2 linked regions of the Arabidopsis thaliana genome follow. The protein of the gene in region 1 interacts with the protein of each later gene in a biochemical or structural test. Each region holds a gene or a part of one and is shown on either strand. Other genes may lie near its edges.

Region 1 (5,971 bases):
ACTCTGGTTGTTCATCAACAGAGTGGTCATGAGCCACATGTATTGCTTGTGTATAGAGAGATTTAGAAATTAGGAACTTTTTCGTATAAATATACTCATTGTACTCAGCTACTCACTAGACTCATCTCTGTTTTAGTAATATTTTGAATACTGTATCTCAAATAAATTAATCTTATCAAATAGAAACCATAGTTGAAAAGTCATGAATGATTCTTAACTGTACAAAATAATAAGCTTTGGTAAAACCCTAAACTTTCGTTTCCAAGATGCAATTTCTAGCTTCTCTCGTTTCCAATTCCAGAAAGTTTGGTCGGAGATGGGATCGAGCTCTCTCGTTGCATCATTTCTCTTCGAATGCGACACCAGCTTCGATATCAAATCCAGCGTTCGTCGAGTTTCTCAGGGACAATGGGTTCCAGAAACCTCTAGCAATTGCCATCGCAATGCGTTACCCTAACCTCAAATCCCTAGAACAACCTCGGTCAGTGATTCAAATGCTTAAAAGTTACAGTTTTTCCGATACCCAGATCCAGAAATCGATCCGGGTCCATCCTCGAATGATGTTCTACAACGTGGAGAAAATTCTAGAACCCAAACTTCGATTCTTTAAAGATATTGGATTTACTGGCTCTGGTCTTGGTAAGTTCGTCTCTCAAAACTCATCAGTCGTTGGTGTAAGTCTAGTGAAGAAATTGATTCCTACCGTTGAGATTCTGAAATCGATTGTTGCCCCAAAACATGAAGACCTTCCTGTCATTCTTAGTAGATGTGGTTGGCTTCTTCTCAGTAGAGACCCTAACTTGTTTCTCTTACCAAACATCTCATACCTTGAAACCTGTGGAATTGTTGGGTCTCAGCTTGCTTCTTTACTTAGAAGACAGCCAAGAATCTTCAATCTCTCTGAGGAAAAACTCAGAGGATATGTCTCTCGTGCTTTGGATCTTGGTTTTACTTTGAACTCGAGGATGCTTGTGCACGCTGTTATCTCGTTAAGTTCTTTGAGCGAGAAAACGTTTGATCGAAAGGTTAAGTTGTTTATGGCTAATGGATTCTCTGAAGATGAGATAACAGATATTATACGAAGATCTCCAGGTTTGATCCGGTGCTCAGAAGATAAGCTTACACTGGGGTTTGAGTTTTACTTGAAGAGAATGGGGTTAGAGAGGGAAGCTTTGGCGAAACGTCCTTGTGTGTTGTCGTATAATCTTGAGAAGAGGGTGATTCCTAGGCTTAAAGTTTTGCAGATCTTGAGGGAAAAAGGGTTGTTGTTAAAAGAGGAGAAGAAGAAGAAGAACATGGTTGGCATTGTTGAGATGACTGAGGAAGCTTTTCTAGAGAAATATGTTGTGAGATTTGGAGATGAGATTGCTGAGGAACTGCTGGTTGCTTACAAGTGCGTGTGTTTAGTCGATGAAACGCTACTTGATCGTATCAAGATCTAATTGTAGATTTCACAAGTCCAAACTTGAAATTTTGTCATTGTATCCAAACTTCGCTCATCCGTAACTGTGTTGAACATTATAATTTGGAAGTAACTCTTAAATCACCCTTTATTACGAGCTTGAAGCTTCTCATATAATAATGGGATTCATATGAAGCGATTCTTTTTCTATTTCAGCACTTGAGCAAAAACTCAAGATTGTCAAAGCGTCTTAAAAATTTGACTCATGAATTTAACCGGTTTGATTTTGGTTCGTTGTAATAACCGGTTTAAACCAGAGATTGATTCCGGATAAAAAAGCTTAGGTTTTTCCGCGAAGCCGACACTGTAAGGTAGGGCTAAAACCTTAGAATAGCCGGAGAGAAGAAGGCGAGAAGAGGAGCGACAAGGGCGAAGCTGCAGAATTCTTCGGTAATTTTCAGATTCGGTTGAATAATGGCGGCTGCGGCTTTTGGGCAGTTAAATCTAGAGGAGCCTCCACCGATTTGGGGATCTCGTAGTGTCGATTGCTTCGAGAAGCTTGAACAGATTGGTGAAGGAACTTACGGGTATTCTTCTCCATTCTTTTTTTTTCTGGGTTTTGTTCCTTGATTCCAATTTATTTGGTTTTGTCAGAGTACTCGTGCTCAAGACTGAAATTTCTCAAATTTGAACGATTTCGCTAGGGCCACTTGATATATAAGTTTTTTTGAAACAATTTTGATTGTGAAACGTTTATATATAGTTATTGATCCATATATTGTTGATTTGAGGAATTTTAACTTTGCCTCTTATCTCAATAAATTCGATTTTGTTGATTGAATTTGGGAATTCTCAGATTCTTGGTATGGTAGATATATATATATATATATATATATATATATATATATATATGTTGCAATAAACTTCTGAAGCTGTCTCTTTTGATGGTGTTTAGATTCATATATTAAAATTTGGTTTTGCAGCCAAGTGTACATGGCTAAAGAAATTAAAACTGGTGAAATCGTGGCTCTGAAAAAGATCCGTATGGACAATGAAAGAGAAGGGGTAAGCTACATTTGAACTACCAGTACTAGCTTTGACAAGTTGCAAATTTTTGTGAGTTTCGTATGACTTATATTTCCGTTTTCATTGTTTGCATGGAGTTTCCGATAACCGCTATCCGGGAGATCAAAATTCTGAAGAAGCTGCATCATGAAAATGTCATCCATTTGAAAGAGATTGTTACTTCTCCAGGTAATAAGGAACTCTTATCTTAGCTTGTAATTGCTTTAGAAATTTTGTCAAAAGGGGTGTTAAGTTTGATATGTAGAGTTTTGTGACTGTTTTTGTCTTTAAAAGGTCGAGATAGGGATGATCAAGGAAAGCCAGGTTAGTGAAACTTATTCAAGATCGAAATATTTTCTGTACAACTTAGATGCGACTATGAGAGATCTATTTAAACTGCTTACGGCCTAAAGCTTGTTGCTTTTCTTCAATTTTAGATAATAACAAATACAAGGGTGGAATCTACATGGTCTTTGAGTACATGGATCATGACTTGACTGGACTTGCTGATCGTCCTGGACTGAGATTTACGGTTCCTCAGATAAAGGTATTGCATGGCTAGACACCTTGTTGTAGTAGCCTTTGCAAAAACCCTTATTGTTCCGACTTTGTCTGACATTTGAACATATGTAAAAAAGTGTTACATGAAGCAACTGCTGACTGGGCTTCACTATTGTCATGTGAATCAAGTGCTTCACCGTGATATAAAAGGTGAATATATCCCAAAATACATTGTTGACCATTTTGTTCTCTTGTCTTTATTTGCTAGTTAACCTATAATATATTGGTGCAGGTTCGAATCTACTTATTGACAATGAGGGAAATTTAAAGCTAGCGGATTTTGGGCTTGCTCGGTCATATTCTCATGATCATACTGGAAACCTCACAAATCGTGTCATCACTTTGTGGTATAGGTATGTATGCCTACAAACTTTGAAGTTATATACAAAAAAGTGACAAAGAATAAGTATTGCTTATACGTGCAGCTTTTTCTCTACTTATGCATTGTTTATTGCTGTAGGCCCCCTGAATTGTTACTTGGTGCAACTAAATATGGACCAGCGATTGACATGTGGTCAGTTGGATGCATATTTGCTGAACTTTTGAATGGAAAACCAATCTTGCCTGGGAAAACTGAGGTCAGGATTTCATCTTATGATTATCGTGGTGTGTGTTATTACAGTGTTCTTTGATGATGTTTCCACTTAGCGTTTTAGTCATATTTTTTTCTTTCCAGAATGAACAATTGAATAAGATTTATGAGCTTTGTGGATCACCTGATGAAAGCAACTGGCCTGGAGTTTCCAAGATGCCTTGGTATAACCAAATGAAATCATCTCGGCCCTTAAAGAGACGCGTAAGGGAGATCTACAGACAGTAAGTATAAACCATTATGTAGTTGCGACTCTTTTATGCAACAGTTACTTTGATCCAGGAGATCTCATTTGGTCCTTTTCTCTTCTGCTATAGCTTTGATCGCCATGCCCTTGAACTACTTGAGAAAATGTTGGTACTTGACCCATCTCAGGTACCAAAGAATTTTTAATACAGAGAATTAAGAGCCTTGGTCTAGACATTTAAGTCCTTTCATTTTCCTGTCTGTTGGTACAGAGAATATGCGCAAAGGATGCTCTTGATGCTGAGTACTTTTGGACTGATCCGCTGCCATGTGATCCAAAGAGGTAATCAAATTCTCTTAACTTTCTTGTTATGAAAACCCATTTGGTTCATCATACATCACAAATGACGATCAAGAACAATTAGTGAGTGATTCAGCTTGTACTGAAACTGTGTTATGTCAACAGTCTACCGACATATGAATCATCACATGAGTTCCAGACAAAGAAAAAACGGCAACAGATGCGTCATAATGAGGAAGCAGCCAAAAAACAGAAACTGCAGCATCCACAGCAGCAACATTCTCGTTTACCTCCACAGCAACACGGTGTTGGCCAGTCTCATGCCGCTCCACTTTGGCCTGCTGGACCAAACCACCCTATGAACAACAACGCACCACCACCCCAAATACCTGCTGGTGGCCATTACTATGGAGGAAAGCCCCGTGGTGGTGCACCTGTTCCAAACCGGTACCCTCCTAGCGGAAACCAGACTGGTGGTTATAATAATCAGAGCCGTGGAGGTTACAGCAGCGGAGCATATCCTCCACAAGGTCGTGGTGCACCATATGGCGCCGGTCCTAGAGGACCTAGCGGTGGCTATGGTGTTGGACCACCCAACTACTCACAAGGTGGTGGTCAGTATGGTGGATCTGGTGGCTCTGGAAGAGGTCAGAACCCTATGGGTGGTGCTAGAAACCAACAATATGGATGGCAACCGTAAAGAGAACTCAAAGAGACTCGTATGGTGTGGTCTTGGCTTGATGTCTTTAAGGCAGTTGTGATTTTAGATATGAAGACTTATCTTCGCGAAAGAGAATCTATTTTCATTTGATTTCTTGTCTTAATGGCATTCTTCCAAACATTCTGTGATTGTTGTATGTTTAAATCAAGGTTTATATATCAGAACACAGGAAACCAAATTGGATTTTTACCCAAATCTTATTATTTCTTGCAAAAAAACGTTTCACAACCTCTTATCTGTTTTCGATGAAGTGTGGAAAAACTACACGAATCAGTGTAAACCCCAAAAAGAAAACGAAAAAACTCTCCTCTGAAGCAGCTCCAGCAGTAATTGTGTCATTTCTCATTGCTTATTGTCTTATGCGGATGATTCTACTTTCAGAACAACTTTCATGAACTCGTAAACAAAGTAACTGATTGCCGCGGAAGGCAAAACCTGCAATAGTGAGATAATTCACAAAGCTGTAAAACCTGCAATAAGCTGGTTCAAGAGATTAATTTATGACTAGTATTAAGGAATCAAACCTGCAATAAGCTGGGAATCAAGCCAGCATATAGAGCAGGAACACCTCCTTGTTCAATGATCTTCACACAAGTAGCCACTGCGCTTAACCTTTTAGCATGTGACTGCATTTGTAAACGCCTTCTCACAACTTCAAACGGATATGTTGCTGCTTCTGAGCAAGCCCCTGCGATTGCTCCATATAACAAAGTTCTCATGGGACCAAGCTCGAGTTGATCGAAAGCATTAAGTTCTTCACCTTCTTGCTTCATGTGTTCAAGCCGTTTCTTACCTTCCGGTGTATGAAGGTAAGCTGATTTTAAAATATCATAGACACCGTAGAACACAGCTCCCGATGGAGCCATACTAACAAGTGAAGGTACAAGACCTTTGTATAGGGAAAAGAAACCTTCAGTTTGAATCATGTGACGGAATGCACCAACTACACCACCTAATGCTTCTCCACCGGGTGCCACCATAACCGTTCTTATCTGCAATTCAAAACCAAAGTAATGCTAAAGAACCTCCAGAGAATGGTAAAAGAAGCTCAATGAAGTTTTTGTTGTGATTCCACTTACAGTATCAAGTGGTAGACAAAGCAAACTAGCTGTTACTCCGGCAGCTGCACCAGCAACAAACCTC
Region 2 (5,905 bases), on another chromosome or scaffold:
TTAATAAAGAGATTATATGGAAGAAAAAGAAGGGCGCATAGAGAATAATTTGTCTGTTCAATCATACTCTTTTTCTTTTCTCGTTTACACGAAAAACAAAACCCTTTTTTTCTTGCATTGAATTAGTTCATTCTATAAGTCGTTTTGTTCAACTCATGTTATGTGTTTTATTAAAACTGCGTTTCTATGAACTTACGTATAAAGTATCAGCAAGTTTGATTATTAACGCTTGAAAGCTAGTCGAATGTAATAATAAATCGACATTTTGATATCTTACGAATATTAATGCCTCAGGTGACGTATCTCCGTTGTGGGGGTATGATCCTCTGCACCGCGATCAATCATTGCCTCTGCGACGGCATTGGCACATCGCAGTTCCTACATGCATGGGCCCATGCGACCACTAGCCAAGCTCATCTTCCGACCCGACCATTCCACTCCCGTCACGTATTAGATCCGCGAAACCCTCCACGTGTCACACACTCACATCCCGGTTTCACCCGAACCACCACCGTAGACAAAAGCTCCACCTTCGACATTTCCAAGTATTTACAGTCCCAACCATTGGCTCCTGCCACCTTAACCTTCAACCAATCTCATCTCCTACGCTTAAAGAAAACCTGCGCTCCTTCGCTAAAATGCACCACGTTCGAGGCACTAGCGGCTAACACTTGGCGCTCGTGGGCTCAATCTCTAGATTTACCAATGACCATGCTGGTCAAACTCTTATTCTCAGTCAATATGAGAAAACGACTAACTCCAGAACTTCCCCAAGGGTATTACGGTAATGGATTCGTACTAGCTTGCGCCGAGAGCAAGGTACAAGACCTAGTCAATGGTAATATTTACCACGCTGTAAAATCGATACAAGAGGCAAAATCAAGAATTACCGACGAATATGTAAGATCAACGATAGATTTACTGGAGGATAAAACGGTGAAAACGGACGTCTCGTGCAGTTTGGTCATTTCACAATGGGCGAAATTGGGATTAGAGGAGTTGGACTTGGGAGGAGGAAAGCCAATGTATATGGGTCCTTTGACGAGTGATATCTACTGTTTATTTTTACCCGTGGCGAGCGATAATGATGCCATCAGAGTTCAAATGTCCCTGCCGGAGGAAGTTGTGAAGAGACTAGAGTATTGCATGGTTAAGTTTTTAGACGGAAAAGATAACGAAGATGAGAATTCTCGTGCATGCTAAAGTTTCTATATACATTTCAGTGGTCTATAATAAAAGAGTACTTCACTTGTCGATTTTTGATTGGTTTTAATATGTTTTATGTACGAAATATTTTCTTATATATAAGTTTGAAAACAGAAAATAGACATATGAACCCCAATAAAGACTAATTAAAGAGAGTACTAGAGTAGCTCACTTGTCGATTTTTGATTGGTTTTTATTAAACACAAAATGGATAATATGATGAGTTTAAAAACAGTCTTTCTCCATGCTAGTATGATAATGATATTGACTGATCGATGAATTCAAAGGAATACATGTTTTAGTTTAGTTCATCAACTTTAGCTTAACGTACGGTTCTTAAATCGAAGCCAAAATTCAAATAAATATTAATATATATCCAATTTTGGTAATCTCTATCAGATTATAGCTTTATGAAAATAAAAAATTTAACAATGATTCAAATTGCTAAATGCTAATATATTGGTTAAAGTGTTATTTTCTGCAAAAGTTCAAATAATGTTAAGACTATTTCTATGTAGTTTGATCATTTCAATCTCAACCACATAAAAAACGACACTATATATTAATTCGAAGCCCATATCCATTATCGAATATGATGAATTGCTTACAATCATAAAGTCAAAGCCCATATCCATTTTATAAATAGAGTTAGATATTTATCTTTTTTAGGTCGCAACACCGCAATAGATCTTTTCCCCAAGTTTCAGACAAACATAAAGCAGCAGAGAAAATTTTCAAGTTTCAAAGAGCTTTTCCCTCACCAAGCAAAATTTGGGTTAGTGAAATCTCAAATTTTGCTATCCAATTTCGTTAATCCTTCCTTTGTTAGAGTCGATTTCGTTGTCCTCTGATCTCATCTCTTGAATCAATCGGCTCCTCTAATCCTTTACCTCCTTCACGTTTCGTAATTATTCGATCTGTTTTCTGCAGATTTCGTGAATTTAATTTAATCGCCTCCTCGATTTTAATATTTCGTGATTTGATAGAATCTGTTGGAAATTTCTTGATGTTGCGATAATGGGTCAAAAAATATATATGTGAAGCTGAGATCAGATTTGTGTCGTATTATGTCCCAAAGCTATTTAACAATGAATCTGTGTTTGCTATTTGCAGATATTTGTCAGCAAAATCTGCAGCTAAATTGGGACTTGTCTTGTTAGTTCAAAGATTGAAACTTTTTTGGTTAATTGTTTGGCGGAAGAAGATTTACAATGGGAGAGGAGCATCCGAGAAAGCGGTCTAGACAACATTTTGAAGCGGAGGCGAGAAACGTATCGTTGTTTGAATCCCCTCAATGCGAAACCTCCAAGTGGTATTTCAGCAGGGAAGAGATTGAGCGTTTCTCTCCATCCAGAAAAGATGGGATTGATCTTGTGAAGGAGTCGTTTTTACGGTCTTCGTATTGCACCTTCCTGCAAAGACTTGGCATGAAGCTTCATGTGTAAGCTCACCATAGTATTACTTTGTTGTTTTGTCATCTAGGAAGAAATAGTGTTTGTTCTTTGGTTGTTTGCTAGAAAATCTACTTATGACGTCTCCTTGTCTTCTGATATTTCTTGGTACGTTTTTTTAGCTAAAGAGGGTGCCTAATGCATGACAATGGATAGCCTAACTGTTGAATTTTGTCGTAGGGCCACTGTGGGAGGTGGTCTGGAGGTTCTCCAACTATAGATTCTCGATTTTGTCTACATTTATATCTCGTGAATGGAAGAATTATGTAATAATAGTCAGAATTTGGTGTCCATGCATCATATATTGACTCACTTGTCACTTCTCATCGGCAATGGGAGGATTTGCATCTGTTGTGAATTTGCTTGGGAGCTGTTCACCTGTTTAGACATGACCTTCTGATCTATATGTCTTTGTATTTGTAATTCTCTGCTGGGTTATCAAAACCCTCAGCTGTGTTCCTACCTTTACCAACTGATGTTCTTAGTTTTCTGAGCAAGTGCACGTCTCTCTCCGGCCTACTTTTTTGAATCATCTAATCATAGGTACTGGTGTATTTTTGTCTTCTGCATTACTCACGTGTGTCGGAAAAGTTTATAAATGCTGGTTTCGGTGAAAGTGATGTCTAGCTATTAGTTGCTGCCCGAGATATCATAACATTGACCTTGTTCATGTTAAAGGTTTTTGACAATCTCATTGCTTCAGGTCCCAGGTTACAATATCATGTGCAATGGTGATGTGCCACAGGTTTTACATGCGCCAATCTCATGCAAAAAATGACTGGCAGGTAAGAATGCTTTAGTATTCATATGGTTCATCAATTGCGTTCATTGGAGCTGACATGTAAATATTAATGATTGAATAGTCTGCAACAGATATATTGATTCTTCTTACAAAATTTGGGTTATGAGCAATATAATGTTGATGAAAACAAGTCAAAAGTGGTTATTTAATAGTTATTCAGTCTTCCTGGTTAATTAGAAGTGTATATGATTGCTGCTAAATATTTCCACTTCGGTTTCTCACTCGGTGATTTTGCAGACAATAGCGACTTCCAGTCTGTTCCTCGCTTGCAAAGCTGAAGATGAGCCATGTCAACTGTCCAGTGTCGTTGTAGCGTCTTATGAAATAATTTATGAGTGGGATCCTTCTGCCTCAATTAGAATCCATCAAACTGTAAGTGTATACATACATCTATGTATTGGTAAATTCGCACTGTGCATTTTGCTAATTTATTACATGTTGCTCTGCCTGTAGGAGTGTTATCATGAATTTAAAGAAATTATTTTGTCCGGGGAAAGTCTTCTGCTGAGCACAAGTGCTTTCCATTTAGACATTGAACTTCCCTACAAACCTCTGGCTGCGGCTTTGAATAGACTGAACGCTTGGCCTGACCTTGCAACAGCTGCATGGAATTTTGTGCATGACTGGTAAAGACCCTTGTTAATAATATCTGCCCGATTTTTCCCCTACATTGAGTTTGAATCTTATTATGCATTGTGTGTAGGATTCGAACCACACTATGCTTGCAGTACAAACCCCATGTTATTGCAACAGCCACTGTGCACCTAGCTGCTACGTTTCAGAATGCGAAAGTAGGCAGCAGGAGAGATTGGTGGTTGGAGTTTGGAGTTACAACTAAGCTATTAAAAGGTTTGCTGTTCAAACTCTATTTTTTCCTCTGGTATTATTGCAGTCATTTGATCAAGTGAGATGTAGTGTTTCTATAATGTTAGCGCTAGGAATATGTGGTACTGTAGCTCCAGCTCATGTTAGGTTCTTACCCTGTGCACATATTGAGTTTGGAATTAGGTAGTGGCCTGAACGAAGAGATGTGCTGCTATTGATTTTAGCGGTTGATTAAAAATAATTGGATGTTTTCATTATGGTGACAGAGGTAATCCAGGAGATGTGCACACTGATAGAAGTGGACAGAAGGAGGAATATGCCACCTCCACCTCCACCTCCAAGAAGAGAGTTAAGTTGGGCAATACCTGCAGCCGTAAAGCCGGTCCATATGGCTAGAGCTTATCCGTTTCACAGCTACCCTTTGCAGTCCTATAGACAGGCTGGCATCTGGTGAGCCATTGTTGAGCAGCATGAAGATGTAATCTCTCTTAGAGTCTTGAGTTGGTTTAGCAATAAAAGATTTCCGTAGAGACTCATGAGAGAGGCAGTGTAGCATTATATAGAGATCCGAGTGAGGTGCTTCTGTCTAAGTTAAGCGTCTCATGTATGACCAAAGTGGATTCTCTCGAGATTCTTGGTCTCTGTTCTCGATAGAGAGAGATTATGTATAGAAGTGTCCCATTCACATGTTATAATACTAGCTGACTTTATATCGTTTGTATATCTGGAATCTATGTTTTTGGTTTCTTTAAAAAGTTTAAAGTTGTTTTGATTTTGACTAATTCTCTCATTGTTAAGTAATTTGGTTTTTGATGAAGTGCTATTAGGTCTGTGTTGAGTTGAGACTTGAGACGAACACAATCATCATATGATCAAGCTTATACCGATCGGATAAGTAATTAACCGGTTCAATTAACTACACCTAGCTTATACCGATCGTATAAACCGGTCAAGAACCAAAACCGCTTGGTTTCCATTCTAGACCAAACCGGATTCTAGTTTCCATTATTATTATCTTTTTTATCGGATTAAAAATATAAATCCTTATGTCAGGAGATCCCATTCTCTGTCTCTCTGTCTTTCTCCCCCAACTCGCGAACAAAGCAAACCCTAGATCATCCATCGGCGAGTGAGACGGCAGCTCCTCGTCGGTAATTCCTTCCACCGGCGGCGACCACTCACCCTCAGATCTCTCAATCCCACTCATCTCTGTAACATTCTGTACGCTTTCTCTCTCTCTTTCTTCGCTTTTGTGATCTATTACGGCTCGGTCTCTGTGCCTCCCAGCTCTATTTTGGAGCACTGCTTCGTCTCTGTGTTTATTTGGCTCCTTTGTGTGTTTCTCTATCTCTGCTTTTCTTTTGTATTGCTCTGTTTCCGATTTTATATCCATATGTCTCTGGTTATTTGGTTATATCTATGTGTGATTCTTTGTTCTTTTTTCCATTGAATTCAATAGCTGACTAAGATCTCTGCCTTTTATCTTCAATAGTTGCTCAATCTTTTCGCTTTCGTAACATAATTTAGTTTCTTGTTGATGTTTTTGATATCTACCAATCTCTTTTCAATTTATGTCTATATGTTGCTAAATATCTTGTTCAATGACTGATTTCTTAAACTC

Evidence for each region.
Region 2: the proteins of CDKC2 (region 1) and CYCT1;3 form a complex in vitro, tested with the Arabidopsis thaliana proteins (one study listed by BioGRID).

What each region holds. Positions count from the first base shown.
Region 1 is NC_003076.8:25,953,621-25,959,591, forward strand, and holds CDKC2 (cyclin dependent kinase group C2), read left to right. Parts: upstream 1-1,753; 5' UTR 1,754-1,876; coding exon 1,877-1,989; intron 1,990-2,385; coding exon 2,386-2,467; exon of another isoform or gene 2,468-2,529; coding exon of another isoform or gene 2,530-2,565; coding exon 2,566-2,656; intron 2,657-2,761; coding exon 2,762-2,791; intron 2,792-2,904; coding exon 2,905-3,014; intron 3,015-3,105; coding exon 3,106-3,178; intron 3,179-3,260; coding exon 3,261-3,381; intron 3,382-3,488; coding exon 3,489-3,606; intron 3,607-3,704; coding exon 3,705-3,844; intron 3,845-3,937; coding exon 3,938-3,995; intron 3,996-4,078; coding exon 4,079-4,149; intron 4,150-4,272; coding exon 4,273-4,807; 3' UTR 4,808-5,185; coding exon of another isoform or gene 5,186-5,263; 3' UTR 5,264-5,271; intron 5,272-5,346; downstream 5,347-5,971. Other genes in the region: AT5G64950 (Mitochondrial transcription termination factor family protein), read left to right, coding at 267-1,442; AT5G64970 (Mitochondrial substrate carrier family protein), read right to left, coding at 5,186-5,263, 5,353-5,820, 5,908-5,971.
Region 2 is NC_003070.9:9,609,230-9,615,134, forward strand, and holds CYCT1;3 (cyclin T 1;3), read left to right. Parts: upstream 1-1,823; 5' UTR 1,824-1,981; intron 1,982-2,250; exon of another isoform or gene 2,251-2,319; 5' UTR 2,320-2,417; coding exon 2,418-2,647; exon of another isoform or gene 2,648-3,360; coding exon 3,361-3,442; intron 3,443-3,696; coding exon 3,697-3,831; intron 3,832-3,912; coding exon 3,913-4,085; intron 4,086-4,162; coding exon 4,163-4,308; intron 4,309-4,391; coding exon of another isoform or gene 4,392-4,471; exon of another isoform or gene 4,472-4,550; coding exon 4,551-4,738; 3' UTR 4,739-5,107; downstream 5,108-5,905. Other genes in the region: AT1G27620 (HXXXD-type acyl-transferase family protein), read left to right, coding at 295-1,203; AT1G27640 (uncharacterized protein), read right to left, coding at 5,234-5,677.